Linked DNA regions of Struthio camelus. The main gene of each other region encodes a partner of the protein of the gene in region 2 in a complex. Links are inferred from orthologs where the notes say so. Each region holds a gene or a part of one and is shown on either strand. Other genes may lie near its edges.

Region 1 (7,834 bases), about 8.7 Mb from region 2:
CTTTTTCCATTTTTTTCTTTCTCTGTTTATTCCTTCTCAAATCAGTTTTATTTCTTTCTACCTGGCAAAACACTCAAATGATGAGAATAAAGGGAGGGCTATGTTTTGACAGCCACCCAGTTTTACAATACTATTATTCTCAAAACAGTTATCAGCAGGAGTACGTACTTCAGAGAATAGCTTCCTGCCACGGCACTCTTTGTGCAGGCAAAAATCTGATTTACCCTAGTATAACTTTGCTTGCATAAGTATTACAGGAAATATCAGTTAAAGTAGTGACACGCTAAACAGCCCCCAAAACAGCAGGGTCCTTTTCAGAGTCAGTCAAAAAAAAAAAGAGAGCTCATGATCTTATAGAACAAGCTAGCTCATGTATATAACAACACCCCATTGTTAAAAATGCTAACCACAAGTTAGAATAAAAAGGAAATAGGACGCACAAGAACATGGGTACCAACGCAAGTGCAAAAAAGGGAGATGCCTTAGTGTATGCACCTTCTTAAGCTGAATGTATAACTGAAGGCTTTGCAGCAGCTGCCATGCTCTTCAGCATTTCTATCAACAGAACTGATAGCCTGAGTCTGAAACTCAGCTTTTACTCCTATAGTCAACCAATGCACGGAAGCTCACGGTTTAATTTGTTTGAACAGCATCAGTTAGTACAAATGGTAAAAGGCAGGGTGATACGTCTATTTTAAAAAATACATACGACCTCTATAATCCTCCCTTGTAGGAAACTCCTACTGACTTCAGTAATAGCTCTGCAATCATGAGGACAGGCTGAGAGCACAGTAGAGATATATGCAGGCTAAGTTCTGGGCAGAGGAGAAAAGTAGACTAAGTACCGTACATGGAAGGTTAATTTAAAATTACAAGCACACAGCTTTTTCTATTGAAGGCAGCGAGCATATTGGCATGTAACTACTTAGCATGAAAATGGGTAGGAAAAATAATAGTTTCATAGGACTAAAAATTTTGGGATTTAGAAATTTTAATGCCAAAATCATTTTGAGACGCTTAATACCCCTTTTCATTTTGCAGAGAGGTGGGAGTCACATATGAACTGTGTAAGCACTTACCTTGAACATAGACATAAATGGTTGTAGCTGCCTGGCTGTCCCTGTAAAGGCACCTGTAGTCTCCTGTGTCATTGCCTATTACTTTTAGGAGAGTAAGCATCTTACAGTAGGGGCCATCACTACAGTTTGTCACAGCGATACGCTTCTCAGCACTGCTCTGATTGTTCGGCCAGAACCAGTCCAGAGCTCTCTGACCACTAGGAAAGCAAATGTTAGAGAAGCATTAGCACGTGATGGGTATCAGTACGGTTGCCAAGCTGGTAAAACTCAGTTCTGCTAGTCTCTACAGGTACAAAAAGGAATTGGCTTCATTACGTAGCATGGATTGTCAAGTCCCATATGACAAATTCACACAAACCAAGCTATTACTAATACCTACGTGGAAGCTATTTCATTTTGAGAATTCAGTGATGGCAAATCGAAGTAACACAGATCCTAAAAGGGAGGGGCGAGAGCCTCACTCCCCAGCACACCCTGCAAGGATCCAGCTAATGCCGCGTCTCCTTGCACTTCCCAGCTCCTCTCACAGGGTAGTAGTCGGGACTAGACCAAAGCTACTCTGAAGCACTTTTTATGTCATGCCCATTGGCTAGCCTGCTGCTGTACCTTTCTTCAGTGATCCTCCGTTACTGTAACCCTTTAAGATCATTTCTAAAGCCCATCAGGGAAAAGCACAGGGGAAGGGAGAATTACAAAGGGAGGGGAGAGAAACGGGAGAGATGAAAGGAGAGAGAGAAAGAGTCATCTGTAATTCTGTACAAAAAAAGGCTGCATAAGTAACCCCCATCAAAAGCATACTGGCCAGATTTGCCCTTACCTGCAAGTAATATTTAGAGTAGCATTTGCAGTTATTGTGAGGACATCTTTTTGGATGCTAAGGCTTGGCTGATCCAGAGAAGTAAATAAACCTGCAAAAATATGTATGAAAAACCTCCAGTCAAAGCAATTACAAGATAAAAGTAAATGCTGCTCAATCAGAAAAGCATCACATACAAGTAGATGCTACATGTTTTAAGTGGACACTTTCACATCATCTGCTTAGCAGTGTAGCGGTAAATAATGACTTTTCACACATCACAAAGTTCAAAAACTCTGTCATAACAGGAAGAAAAGGCAGATGGTCAGGACCTAGCTGCAGAGCACTACAATTCATCGAGCCAGGGTGGAGTTCCTGTTTTTTTGCATTGCCAGATTCAAGGTCTAACAAGAGGATGTTGGACATTGAAATAAAGCGAACCTTCATCTGATGATCTCACTCCCTGGGGAAAGGGATCACCAGCTTTTCTTATAATAAATTGCATATATTTATATTCTTTGAGCCTGCTGATTAAGGAATTCAGTGAAGAATTCCTTTGCACAGTTTGCCACAAAGTCAAGGTCTCATGAGCCCAGCACTGCTCTTCTTTACCATGTTTTTCTCACGTTGCCCCTCTCTTCCTAAGCAGCCGGGCAAAACCCATTACCCTCGAGCTCTCTTCACGCCAGGGTTGCATCAGGCTCGCGCCGAGCCACCTGCGCTCGCGAAGGCTGCGATTTCAGCGCCGATGCTCGCTCTGAGGCAACACAGTCCAGGTTGCGCAAGGCTTGCGAGGAACACAGCCAGAGGTTTTCAGGCCGCGCTCCCGCCAGGAATCCTGCCCCACCGGCGCAGGACCAGGACTCCCCACCGGCACAGCGCGGCCAGCCGCCGCGGGTGACAAGACGGCCGGGCCAGGCCTTAACTCTTTCCCTGCCCTTCCCCTCGCGCGTCCCCGCGGTTTAACCAAGGGCGGCCGATGACAGCCCCGGGCTGGGGCTCCCGCCGCGGACCCGCAGCCCAGCCGACGGCTGCCCCTCAGCCGAGCCGCACCGTTGCTCATCAGCACCGCCGGGCACAGCCCTTCCCCGCCGGGCTGCAGGCCCGCGGCCGCCCGGCCGAGCCCCCCTCCTCGACACCCCGCGGGGCCGCAGCAGCGCAACGGCTCCGCGGCCGCCCCCCCTCCCCCCAACCGCCCTTTGCGGGGCGCCCCGACGGGTGCCGCTTACCGGGCGCCAAGCACAGCGCGGCCACCAGCACCAACGCCGCGCCGAGCTCCATGCCGCGGCCGCCGGGCCCTCCCGCCAGCCGGGGGCGGCTTCAGCTGCGGGCGCTGCCGAGCGCGGAGCGACGTCGGGGCAGTGGCAGCGGCAGGGGCCGGGGCAGGAGCCGCTCCGCGCCGCGCCGCGGGATGCGGGACCCCGGCGAGCGCCGCCGGCCCCGCCCCGCCCCGTCCCGTCCCCTCGGGCTGGGGGCGGGGCCTCGCCGCCGCCGCCCCGCCCCGTCCCCGGCGGCCGTTGGCCGGAGGGACGGTTGGGCCGTTGGCGGCCTGGGCCGGGCGGGCGAGGAGACGTTGTCGGGGTGGCCGGTGGGACCTCGCGTGACAGGGTTCTTCCTGAGGCACGTGCAGGAAGACACGGTTCTTCTCCTGCTGCCCCTTGACTTTATCCACCCGAGCTTTTACGTCTCTGACCATAGGAAGACCTGCGTTTGCAGGACAACTTGAAAGTCCCTCAGTCAGGTGCATCTTCTCGGCGCGTGTGACACGTATCCATCAGTTTAACTGACTAAATCACGTCCAGCAGAATCCGGCAACTTCTCGTAAGATTCATCCTTTCCACCCTTTTCCTCCAACAGCCAAATCCAGTACTCTTTCCCCAGGTATCAATACCAGCTGCGGTACTGATTCCCCTTTCATACTGCAGGTTTCATCCCCCCCCCCCCCCAAAAAAAAATTAACCCCCATCCCCAACTAGAATTGTACTTTTTAATCGAAATTATTAACCAAGCCACTGTTGAAAGACAAGTTCATGAAGCAGTCCTTCTGGGAAAATAAATACATGGTCATAAATGCTTTATCCATACACATAAATCTACAGCCTCAGGGGGGAAACAAATACATCTGCAGTAACAAATGGGTAGGTAGGTAGGTGGAGAGATAGACAGATAGATAGAATAGGTAGACAGATAGATAAAATAGGTGGGTAGATAGATAAGTAGCCATCTAAGTAGGAAAATGGACAGAAACAACATAGCTATATACATAACTGCATGCATGCATGTACATACATATCTGCATACTACAGTTTTCTCTTTACCTGCAGATCTGCATGTGAGCCTGTCCACAAATGAATAAGTTAACGAAGCAGTGATTTTATTTTGCATGCTGTGCAATTCCAGCTGGTTTACTGTACTTGGGAATCAGCGTAATTTCCTTTGAAACACCCCTGTTGATCACAGAAAAATACAAGGACTGGGAGAAGCCAAATTTCTGTACTAATTTTTTCCCAGAAACCAAATAAACTCCATGAAAAGTCAGAGAAGAATCATATGGCCCAAAAAGTGGCAAGTGGGCATCGTGCAGATAAAATGTGTTACTGCTATTCTTATGAGCTCTTAAACCAGCAAATTGGTAGCCCTCATCTATCTCCATCATATTGTAGGTTGGGTCAGTGGTGTCTCTCAACTAAACAACTGTCCCTTGCTGAGACTATGGCTAGGCTGCATATGAGGTTTACGTTTATGTAGAAGTGATAAATACTTAGTGAGAACCAAAGCCACCTACTGTTAAAGAGCCACTTTTGATAACTTCATTTGTGGTGCTGCTGTTTCTGTCGTTTTTGACTACCAAGAACAACATTTTTATTAGAGATGATAAACCTGCCAGAACTGTTTTCCTCCAAAGCAGTTTAGCTCGTTAACAAAGCTAATGAAATTATAGGGATAAGTTGAAAAATGTTCAAATGAACATACTATGGGATCCATGGAACACAGGACAATCACTCGTACCTCACTTTACTGCTTTCTATACTCATATATAAACTTCCAAAAATGCAGTCTGTAGAAAATATGCCACTATACTGATTTTAGCAAATGACTTTTCTGAGACTTAGTTAGACAATACACAAATATAGCTTACTGTAATTCCATTTATGGCCTCTTTTCAAGCATAATTATTGCTATTATGTCAGGGGACTGGAGTGGGGTGGTTGGTTTCGTTGCTGAAAACGATCTTGGCATCTGAGCTTTGTGCAAATAACAAATATCTAAACTTGCAAACAAATCCAAGCAAATATCCAAATATCCAAAATAATAAATATCCACTGCTTGCCCTGAGGCTACCTAAGCAGGGATACGTGACTTCTTCTTCAGTCAAACTTGCAAATGCACCCCAATACTTCCTACATCTCCTTTTCCAAGTCTGGTGCCTCTTAAGTGAAGACCGCAGAATGTTCTGTACTTCTGTAACATGCCCAAAGGCAGCAAAGAGAAGAAGGTAAAATTCATTTTACACCAGGATGGCACAACTCAGATGAGCAGCAGGTTGGAGGAGAGACAGAACACTGCAGACTTCAGTTTCCCAGTAATGGCCCACTAGAAGTTAGCCCTCCTTGTCCCTTGGGGATCATTACATCCCCTGCCTCCTTTCTCTGCAGTTTCCTGGGGAAGGGAAGGGGAGGAAAGGACAGCGGACACACGAACCTCCAGGCTAGTCAATGCACACACCTAGCTGAACAGCCAGCAGTGAGGAGCGTGCAAGTTATGAATGTCAGGTATCCACAGAGAAGTGTGTAGTCCAGAAGCACGTAGTCAGACAAAAAATTAAAAACAAGCAAACAAACAAAAAAACCTCGCCTGCAGACCATATGTTGGCTGTACTGCTCCAGATCAGAATCTACCCTTTTTATCCATTCTGAGCAGTACTTATCTCCCTTAGTGATCCCACTGAAATCTCCGTCTTTACCCTGTAAATGGAAGTACAATCCTTCAGTCCTTTGCCTGGCTGTCAGTTTAAGCTTGTTAACTAGAATTATGCTATAGAAGCTGCTGCTTCACTGTATTCATTACTGTCCCTAGCGTATCAGAGAAATTTGTGATATGAATGAAGTAGAAGACAAGTCCTTACACTCCAGATATTTGAATGAACTCCCAGCCCTGCAGACATTTAAACATAAGAGGAAATTTACTCTGGAGAGTCATTTTACTGATGTAGGGCTTTTCATGTGAATGAATTTATTTACATGCATAGTGTGCATTGGACTAATCCTCTAATAATATCAAGTAAAAACTATGGTCAATACTCATTGGAAATGGTAGGTGTACAAGGAAAGCAAGAGCTAAAAAAGATGTGAAATGACTTTACTGACACAGAGTATACGGTATCATATGTGCTTTGCTACACTGATTTTTATATTTTGAACTTTGTTGTGGCTTTCTCAAGAGGGTTGTCACTGGAAGACACCATGGGAAACCTCTGAGAGAAGAATGGACCGAAGCACAGGAGAGACAGTTACCTATCATCTAACTGAAAGACTGATCTAAATACACTGCTACTGTGATACACTGCTACTGGGATAGCTGTGGGATATTAGGCAACAGATGGCTGCAAGGTTGAGGGGCAAAGGGGCACAGTTTACAAAACCAAAATCCCAGTGATTCAAGTGATGGCAACTTTCATATCCAGTCTTTTAGGCTATAAGCTCTGTGCAGCCTTTCTGCCTTCCTTTAGCCTTGTAGGATATCAAATGTAGCCTGGCTTTCACCAGAGATTACCGGCGCTGAACCATGTGGCGCAAGTGAAAGAATCCAAATACGAGAATCATAATCCAGACTACTGAATGAATAAAATGGTGAGATTTCCTCCCTCCTCAGAGACTGTTTCAATCTGGGAATCTTGTTTCTTCCTGGGATCCTCAAAACAACATGAAATAGCTTCTAATGCTACACCTACCCTTAGGCTCAACACCCTCACCTGCCTTAAATGACAAACAATCCCTTCAAGACTTTTGAGGACTGGCTTAGTCAGAAAAGCCTGCCGCTGTCTTGGCCAGACAATTCCAGTAAAGAATGCAGGGCTGGCATGAGCTCCCCAAACACCCAGCCTTCCTACCACACTGCGTGAGTCTTGGTCTGGCTCGGGACTGGATCTGGAGATTTGCAGGAGAGCTGATATCTAATGGGTGGGATACACTCAGCCAGCATGATTCCTGTACATTTAGTCAGATCAATTCCCTGCTAATACAGCATCTTCCAAAGCCCCTTAGAGGCTTAGTTCTTAAACCCCTTGCCTACACCTTGAGATGGAGAGTGACAGCAACCCTCCTTCGAGTTTGTTTTCAGCCCTCGTTAGCCTCTTTGCCTGCAGCCCCCCAAGGAGGGAAGCTCTGTTTCCGTGACACAATCACTGGGAACGATCTGTATGACAGGAGGGGGCACGAAGTCGTGCCTTGGCCAAACAAGGCCAGCAAACTTTTGTTTATGCATCTGCTCCTCTGGTCGCCAAAAGCTCATTAAAAACAAGACACAAAGAAGCAGGACAAGAGACTGGCAGCTCCCCATCACTCCCCCTTCCCTCTCCTCCCCGGCTTGTCACGACTCCCCCACGCTTGCTCACTCCCACCAGCATCTCCCGGCTGCCTGCAGAGCCCAGCCAGGACAACTGCAGCAGCAGGGGCAGACAGGCAGCCTTTTGTTTGCTTAATTATTCAAATAACAACCTGGGGGGAGATAAGGGCTGGCACTGGGAACACCGATTATGCTCTTCCTTGCTGCAGCAGTTGAATAGGTTTGTAAATGGTCCCTGGCAGCCTAAGGTGCGCAACTGCTCAGTGAAGGCCTTTCATTTAGAAAGGAACACTGATAGCACCACTACCTTTAATATTATTCCCATTTTCTCTTCTGCTAGTACCTGTAGTAGCAACAGAGAGCAAACATGCTCGTCCTCACCACGCATAAACAC
Region 2 (8,053 bases):
TTTCCTCTTAAGTTGGAGGACCTCCAATTTCATCCACACTTTTAGAAATAAGTTTCTAAAGCAGAAGTTCTTAAAGAGGAATAAAAATGTCATATAAAAAGTTCCCCCCAAAAGTTGTATGATCCCACACTTGCATCAGTTCAATACACAGCAGCATGGCATATGTGGTGGAAGGTGAAAACAGGGAAACCGTAAAAATCTACAAACACAAGCCAGCACGCATTTTTCATTTGATTTAAGAAAGTTCAAGTAAATGACTTTTTACTGACAGTATAATCACATTTTCCTTGAACTAATTACTTACAGTTTACTTATTTAATCCTTTCTAATTACTCCAGGCATTCATCTCAATAGTCTCTCATCCCAGGGACAAACACGCACAATACACGCTCACTCAAACAGTTCCAGAAAAAAATCAGGGTAACTCACAACTAAGACTTCCAACGTCACCAAGGCTGCTCAGACGCTGAATCTCATATTACTGTTCACCACTAGTCAGGCACAAAATCATTTTCTTTGTTAATATAATTGTTTAACATATGCTATCCCACTCACTTCCCAGGCTGCTGACCTTTTTCCTTCGCTCTGCTCACGGTTCCCCTTTTTCCAGGGAACACTTGCACTTCTACAAAACACACTTCAGTGGTAGCTCCTAAAGATTTAGAGGTTTCAAGAAGCAGGGTAACTATCTACAGCATGTGCATGGAAACGTACAGCATCACTTAGGAGGGTATCTTTACTATCAGCTGTTCTACCTCAGTAGTTTAAACGCACAAAGTATGCACTGTGCTCCAGTTTTGATTCCTTCTACCTTTTCAGCACAGGCTGTTCTGAGGGTTTACAATACAAAAATCAATTTCACTCAGGAAATAACTGGCTCACTATCATAAGCTGGAGTTTCTTTGTTTTTTATGTTTTTTTAAAATTATTTAGACTATTTATAACAATGCAAAACTTAGTGAATGATAAGATAAAATAAGTGACCAGCCAGACTGATTTTGTGTCCCTATTTTTAAATATTTAGATTTGCAAAATACTTGATAAGCATTCAAGCAATATAATCACTTAGAGCATTAAGGATGTTAATATATAAGCATTCAGGCTCTAATTGAAATGTCTGAAGAGGGAGTACAATATCCTCAGTAACCTTTTCTATTTAGAGTATTATTGGAAAAGCATGAATTCTGTGAGCTACACATGGTCTACAACAGCTTGAATATCCAAAATAAGTACAGCTAATGCACATTATCAGAACCTGAGTCTGACTTCCCATCCAATTACAGTAAACTTTCCTAAACTTTCAATCAGTAAAGCAAACAGCATTAGTATATTAAACTTATTTCATTAACCAGATTAAAAATATCACTGTAAATCTAAAAAACAAAAAAGTGCAGAATAGCAGCTGAACTCGTAATTCACACATTTTGTACTTTTTTTCCTCCATACTTCAGTGGATAATGAATGAGCTGACTCACCATTGCTTTTGACAAGTATGCTGCGAATCTTAAGAACATCTACATCAGGGTAAGACTTGTTACGAACTCGGACATCAAAGGTCTTTCTAATAACATCGCCTGCTTACACAAGTATATACTACACATCCTTTTCATGCATCAGCGTACTGGGAACTGCAAAACCACAAAGTTTGCTGAAAGGTACTTGAATTCTAAGTTATGAAACTTCCAACAGAAATAAAAATTAACATACAATCGGAACTTGAGAACGTATGTAGAACCTTAACTGTACTGTACGCCTGGACAGTTTTCAAATCCAAGTGTCAAGTTACACCTTCTATAAACTCTGTCACGCAGCAGTAGGTCACTGCAGTTTCAATAACTCCAAGAGACTTTTCAACAAATGGAAAGTCTCAGTTTTTGTTGTCATCGTCCCCCACACGTTTCCCTCGCTACTTCATTCCTATGCACAGCTGCTGCTCGAAGCGGTGCTCAGCCCTTCCTCCAGCAGCTAGCTCCCCGCTCTGCCCCGCCGAGCCCGTCGCGGGCACCCGCACAAAGCCGCCGGCGCCCCCCGGCCCCCCGCAGCCCTGCCCTCGCTGAAGAAGCCTCCAGGGCCGCCGGGACCCGCCGGCCGGGGAGCACTCCGGCTGCCAGCGCCGAGGCAAGCGACAGCCGAAGCCGCGGGTCGCTGCCGCCTCCGGGCCGAGCGGCGGCCGGCGGGGCCGCGGCCGCGACCTCTCCCCGCGGGACAGCCCCCGGCCACGGCCACGCAGCACCAAGGACCGCGGCAGGGGCACAGCCCTCGGGCTGCCTTTGCTGATCAGGTGTTTTGCGTTTCTTTGTCAACACGGTTCTTCCCTCTGCAACCACCCTTCCAGCAACCCTGAAAAAAACCCAGAAACTTTTTTTTCTTTTTCTTTTTTTTTTTTGGCTTAAACAAATCCCCCCAACCCCCACCCCGGGTTTTGGAAGAGCTCCCATTTCAAAAGGCTTCTCCCAAATATTTTCCTCCGCGGGATTTCCAAGCAGCCCGTCCGAGCGCACTCTCAGGCGCATGCCTGCAGAAGGCAGCTCGCATCTGCTGCGGGGGCACGGACGTACCTTCGCCTCCCCCGCGTCGGGCTCCTCCTCGTAGTACCCCTGGCCGGACTCGTAGGCGGCGGCGGCGGCCGGCTGCCGGGGTCCCAGGAGCACGGCGCCGGCAGCCAGGCAGCAACCCAGGGAGAGCACCTCCAGCAAGTGCATTGTGCAAAGATGGCAGGGCGGGCGCGCCGCGGAGCCACGGGGCACTTGGAGGAATGCAGGCGAAATTAGGAGGCTCCTTCTCTTCCTCTCCCCCTTCTTTTGCTGCCGTCTCCCCCCTCCCTCTCCTCGCAATATCCAAGGCAGTAAAATCCGTGGGATGGAGAAGATGCAGTAGCAGCAGCTCCTAGACGCCTGCAGGGGAGTTCCCAACTTTCCCAGCCGCTTTGCAAATTCTCACCAAAGTTATCCGGAGTTTGCCAGGTAAAAAACCCACCAGGAAACCGGACATCCGAGGCTGCGCTCACTCAGGAGCAGGGGAGGTGGAAAGCGCAGAGAGGAGGAGGAGGAGGAGGGAAGGAAGGGAAGGGAAGGGAAGGAGGCAGAGAGAGAGAGGCAGAGCGGGAGCGAGCGGACGCTCACCCCTGGGGAGCTCCCGCCTCCCCGCGCAGCCCCTGCCCGCGCGGGCCGCGCCGCGGCGGAGGCCGAGGGGTGCGCAGAGGGGCGCCCGCCGTCCGCCGCCGCGGAGGGCTCGCCGGACGCCTGTCAGCGGCAGCGCGGCCGGGGGGTGCGCGGCGCCCGGGGCTGCGCGGCGGCCGCGGGGGCCGCGCATGGCGAAAGCGCCCTCTGCCTGCGCCTCTGCGCGGCGAGAGGGGGCGGCCGGCCGGTCGGCCGGCCTGCCTCCGCCTCCGCCTCCTCCTCCTCCCGCCGGCGGATCCGCCAAAGCCTACCGCCCTCTAGGTCCCAGCCCCGAGGGGAAAGCAAAGTTCGTCGCCGTTTCACCCAGCGGTTCCGCCACCGCATGCGGTTGGTTAAACCGCGCACCCAGCACGTCTGCAATCTTGCAAGAAAATTTCTGTTTAGTCCTGATCGGTTACTTGTTGAGCAATATTGGCTGCTCCATCTGCGAGAGTGTAACAGGCACGCAGCTTTTTTAACTGGAGGGAGAAAAAGATTTCGGCATGTTAGAAACAGACCCTGAACAGTACCTTATTTATCTGCAGTATTCCCGTCAATGAGAGTCTGGAGCCATCTTTGAACAGAAGTTCCCCCAGTTCAGAGCCCTACATAAAACAGCATAAATATGTTTTTCAGAGACACTATGATTAAAAATAAGGCTTGAGTTTTTTCTTTGTTGATGTTACTTTTTTCCTTTTAAGTACAACAAGTGGAGAACTGCATATTGCAGTAACAAAGTACAGCCTGATCAAATCCCAGCGCTGTGAAAGGAGGAGTTATATTCTGTATATTATTATTTTTGTTTGATGTGAACAGCGTTTCTGAAACTCGTGCAAAAATTTTAAAAGCTTTTCAAATTATTCTGCATCACACTTATACTTCTTTTGGTAAGAGAATTGTAAGAGAACAGATTTCTGACTGCCTTGGCTGGATCCTGGCTCTCTACTCCTATTCTAATATTCTTATTTCTGGAGTAATCCCATTATGGAACTACTTAGGGAATGACATTCAAAAGGTTATACATGAAGGTATCTCTCCATCAGGTCTTTAGGTACCTTCTATTCTTTCTACTCTATTCTTTATCAGTCTTAAGGTGGTAGATCAGCTAATAAACTATGTGGATACTACGAAACAATCACTTCATTTACAATCTGAAAAAAAATCTAAAATTTAAATAGAGCTACATTTTAACACAATTATTAAAGCACTAACATTTTTTCAATATCTTCACAGGAGAGTAAAGCAGCAAAATGAAGACAGTGGTAGAGGTTAATCAGAACAGCTATAAAGATATAAAACATAAATAAATTACAAAGCTTATTGTCCTTCAGTGGAGCCTTACAACACTGCAGATCAAAGTATAGGATTGAAGCCAGCCAGCCAGCACGCTCCAGGATGCAAAACTCATCTAAGCCAGGAACACAGCATCACTGGTTTGAGTTCAAACATGCCAAAAACTCTCAGAAGCATCACAGACTACTGCAGAAACAGAGGTATTTTGCAGCATGTTAATAAAACTGACCTGACAATATCCATTTCAATAGCCAAGTGTCACGCAGAGAGCATCTCTCAGTAACTAGATCACGAAACAAGATGAAACACTGTTCATGCTGTGCCATCATAGCATCAGCTGGCTTCATCGTTTCCCCAGTTCTCTTTACGTTCTCATTCTGTCCTTTTCCTTCCCCAATTCATAGAACTTCCATCATGGAGTCAAATATTTTCATGCAAGAAAGCACTTTCACTGACTACTCTTGTATACTTGTATATCAAGTTTAAAGTGTCATAATTGAAAGCTTGTAATCGCAATCATAGCACCTCAAGTCACAATCTGATCATAAGGTTTCTAGATTTCAGCCTATTCACTTACTGTATACTTTCTCTGCAAAGGAGTGACTATACCTTTGGCTAAGGGGTAACATTTTAAGGTTTTCCTCATTTCAGGCTGCATTTTTCTCAGTCCCATAAAAGACGGCCAATTTAAATGTTTACCGATTTAAAATCTTTTCTCCGTTCCTCATCACCAAGCAGTTGGTATTCCTTTTCTCGTCTTCAAATTAAGCAGAAAACATTATAATATTATTTATATGAAAATACCCAGATAAGGCCTACAAGGTAACTAATTTAAAGTTTTAAGTGAAATTAATACACTGGCAATGAACTGATCTTCTAAATACAAATGAGAAAAGAGATATCCTTAATAGTGCAGAAATACAGTTCTAGGTCTGGCCATGTTATGTTTTAAAGGCAATGATAGCTACTGTTGACAAACAAAGGAAATCCTTGATGTAAGCTCTATGACTCCTTCAAATGAATTCTCTCAATGTGGTTTTAAAATTACATTAAAAAATCCAGACTCCCCCTTAATTAAGTTGGTGTAATATACATCTGTCAAGCACATTCCTCTCTGAGTCTAGACATACCTGATACGCTCCTGTTTAATACATCCTGCCTCTCAAATGTGGATGTGTTTCAATAACTGTTTTCTATCTGTAATCATTAGCAGTAGGAAAACTCAGAGAGGAGCCACTGTAAGAAACGTGAGCTGAGACTGGGGGATTAAAAAGTGTCAATAGCAGCAAAAAAAAAAAAAAAAAAAAAACCAGTAGCATGCTATAGCAATTTGCTCTGTTTGCTTGTTGTAGAGTTTGCTTATTTTAGACTTTTCAAGGCTAAAAAAACCAAGCTGTTGAATGTTTTCTTTTGCCGTTTCAGTTCTCCTTATATTTAAACTTTAGCTAGTCATAGTTTTGTGTTTGATTCAAAACATTTGCATTTTCTCCTTAAATAGACATATAAAGGCATGTTTAAGAGTTAAAAAAAAGACAAATAGTCCTGGTTTGCTTTTGTTTTAACACAAAGTTGTCAGTGCTTAATGGTGAGTTTCAGAAGGATTTATATTTAATGTAACATTTAAAAGATGGACATTGTTGTTCTTAAGTGCTGCAACTCAAACAAACATGGAAGCTCCGTTCTGGAGTCATTCCAAAAGATGAAGGTACTCTTGTAAACCTCAGCTCCCAGTCCTGCTAAACACACAACTCTCCCATATTTCCTACAATGCTTACAAGCATGAAAAAAGTGTTTGGATACCAATCAGCATCCTAACTATCAAAGCCTTACACAAGATACTACAAAAAAGCTTAATTATATATCTAGAACAACAACGAAAAACCATTTCAGATTCAGTATCAGACTACTGAAACAGCAGAATCACTAGTGAATCTCCTGCCCATTGAATCTTTTAGTCTCAACTGTTGCTACACATTTCTTACCATATTGCTTGATGCCTTTTACCGACTTTAAGTCCTATGGAAGGCTACTGAAAAATGACACAGTGGATTTCAGGTTGTAGTCTGCTTCTTTCCTCAAACTCTCTTGCATATATAAAACATGCATATGATTTACAGTAAACACTTAGGAGTACTGCAGTTTTACTAATTGTATGCATAATGGCCTTCCTCACTTCTCACAAACAAATTTAAAAGTACAAATTTTTTTATACGGGCCCATATTAGTATTTTCTTGTATGATCCTAGAAGGATTTAAGCATGGTGGCTTGAAAGTCACCTGAAAGAACCAAAATCTTTCCCCTGACTTCAATCAGGCGTCTTCTCTGTAAAGCATAACCCATGGGAAACTGTTCTTTGCCAAACCCTCAGCCAAGGACTCCGAAATGTAGCTTTATCCATTCATTTGCCCTAAACGTATTGCCAAGATGAATAACTTTAATTCAATGAATAAAGATGTCATTGCTGCAAAATCATTTTCTGCAATGCTTAGCCTAATAACTTGCATTTTTTTATTATCTGGGAATTTTGCTTTCTTTTGGTGTAAAAATTTGTGACTCTTGAAAATTAATTAATAAGACAAGAATCCTTATTCTTCAGCCCTTTGATAGTGGTTGATATTCAGGGCTTATGGGATTATTGGGCTTTCTTTGTTCTCAGGGATCGTCTTTCTAAACTTTTAAAATCAAGACTGTTGGCACGTGACATTAGAATCCCCCAGTGATACAGACTAGACAACTGCATTAGCATAAAATCCCTGCAATCCTCGCTGTCTTAAGGGGGGGTTGGTAGAATCAAAAAATGGGCAGCACCAGGCAGCATCTCAAGGAAAGTTTTTGAATTCTCCAAAGTAAACTGTATCTCTAAAGTTGCTCTAAACTTGAATGGAGAAAGCACTAGCACACATTTTATCCAGCTGTCTTACATAAGGATCTTTCTCTTCACTATAGTTTTTTCCTCTCGTGATGCAATGTCTCACACAAGAACTGGTATGCAGAGAGTATTGATTTAACTTCATATAAAGTAATTAATCTCTCCATGTAGCAATGCTGTTCATAGTTATAACCTCTGACTATAAACAATAAAATGACTGATCATAAGTTTACACTGCCTCTTAAGTGAAAGCTGTGTGCAATCTAAACTGTCTACAATTGAAGTCACATCACTATATAAATAAATTTGGATTCTACAAAACATTAGGATTTAACAGCACACGACCATTATGCGTACAAACTCTCATCATGATACATTACTTGCCAGCAGTATTCTTCAAAGCGGCAATCTTATGAGATAAGGAATGTGCTCAGAATCTTTATTCCCCGATCACAATTATAAATTCTTTTGCAACGCAACAGAACAAAACAGTCTTAAAGCAATTTAAGACACGTTTCCATATAATGTGCTAAAGCAATGGCAAAACAAACTATTTCTGTACAGAGGTGCAGTTTCTATTATCTCTGTTCCTGCAGAGAGGTATGTCTTCTCCACTAGTACGTACTGTGCTGCGTTCCCCCTTTCTCTTTAGCATTTCAAGGCTTCTTATGAAAAATGTAGGAGGAGAATTGACTTAGGTAAGGAAAAATTTGTGTTAAATAATAAGCAAAA

Evidence for each region.
Region 1: the proteins of VEGFC (region 2) and KDR are in contact, whole or in part, in a crystal structure (PDB 2X1W), measured with the Homo sapiens proteins. The link is inferred for Struthio camelus from reciprocal best matches to the Homo sapiens genes VEGFC and KDR. Residues at the interface, in NP_005420.1 of Homo sapiens: Thr148, Asn149, Phe151, Lys153, Phe186, Ile188, Val190, Pro191, Leu192, Gln194, Pro196; in NP_002244.1 of Homo sapiens: Val135, Tyr137, Ile215, Val216, Val217, Val218, Asn253, Val254, Gly255, Ile256, Asp257, Phe258, Asn274, Arg275, Asp276, Phe288, Leu289, Ser310, Ser311, Gly312.

The regions. Positions count from the first base shown.
Region 1 is NC_090945.1:56,670,493-56,678,326, reverse strand, and holds the start of KDR (vascular endothelial growth factor receptor 2), read right to left. Parts: upstream 3,318-7,834; 5' UTR 3,157-3,317; coding exon 3,105-3,156; intron 1,988-3,104; coding exon 1,897-1,987; intron 1,277-1,896; coding exon 1,080-1,276; intron 1-1,079. UniProt on the Homo sapiens protein: Tyrosine-protein kinase that acts as a cell-surface receptor for VEGFA, VEGFC and VEGFD. Plays an essential role in the regulation of angiogenesis, vascular development, vascular permeability, and embryonic hematopoiesis.
Region 2 is NC_090945.1:47,926,912-47,934,964, forward strand, and holds the start of VEGFC (vascular endothelial growth factor C), read right to left. Parts: upstream 3,254-8,053; 5' UTR 2,992-3,253; coding exon of another isoform or gene 2,941-2,991; 5' UTR 2,703-2,940; coding exon 2,559-2,702; intron 1,629-2,558; exon of another isoform or gene 1,515-1,628; coding exon of another isoform or gene 1,476-1,514; intron 1,456-1,475; exon of another isoform or gene 1-1,455. UniProt on the Homo sapiens protein: Growth factor active in angiogenesis, and endothelial cell growth, stimulating their proliferation and migration and also has effects on the permeability of blood vessels.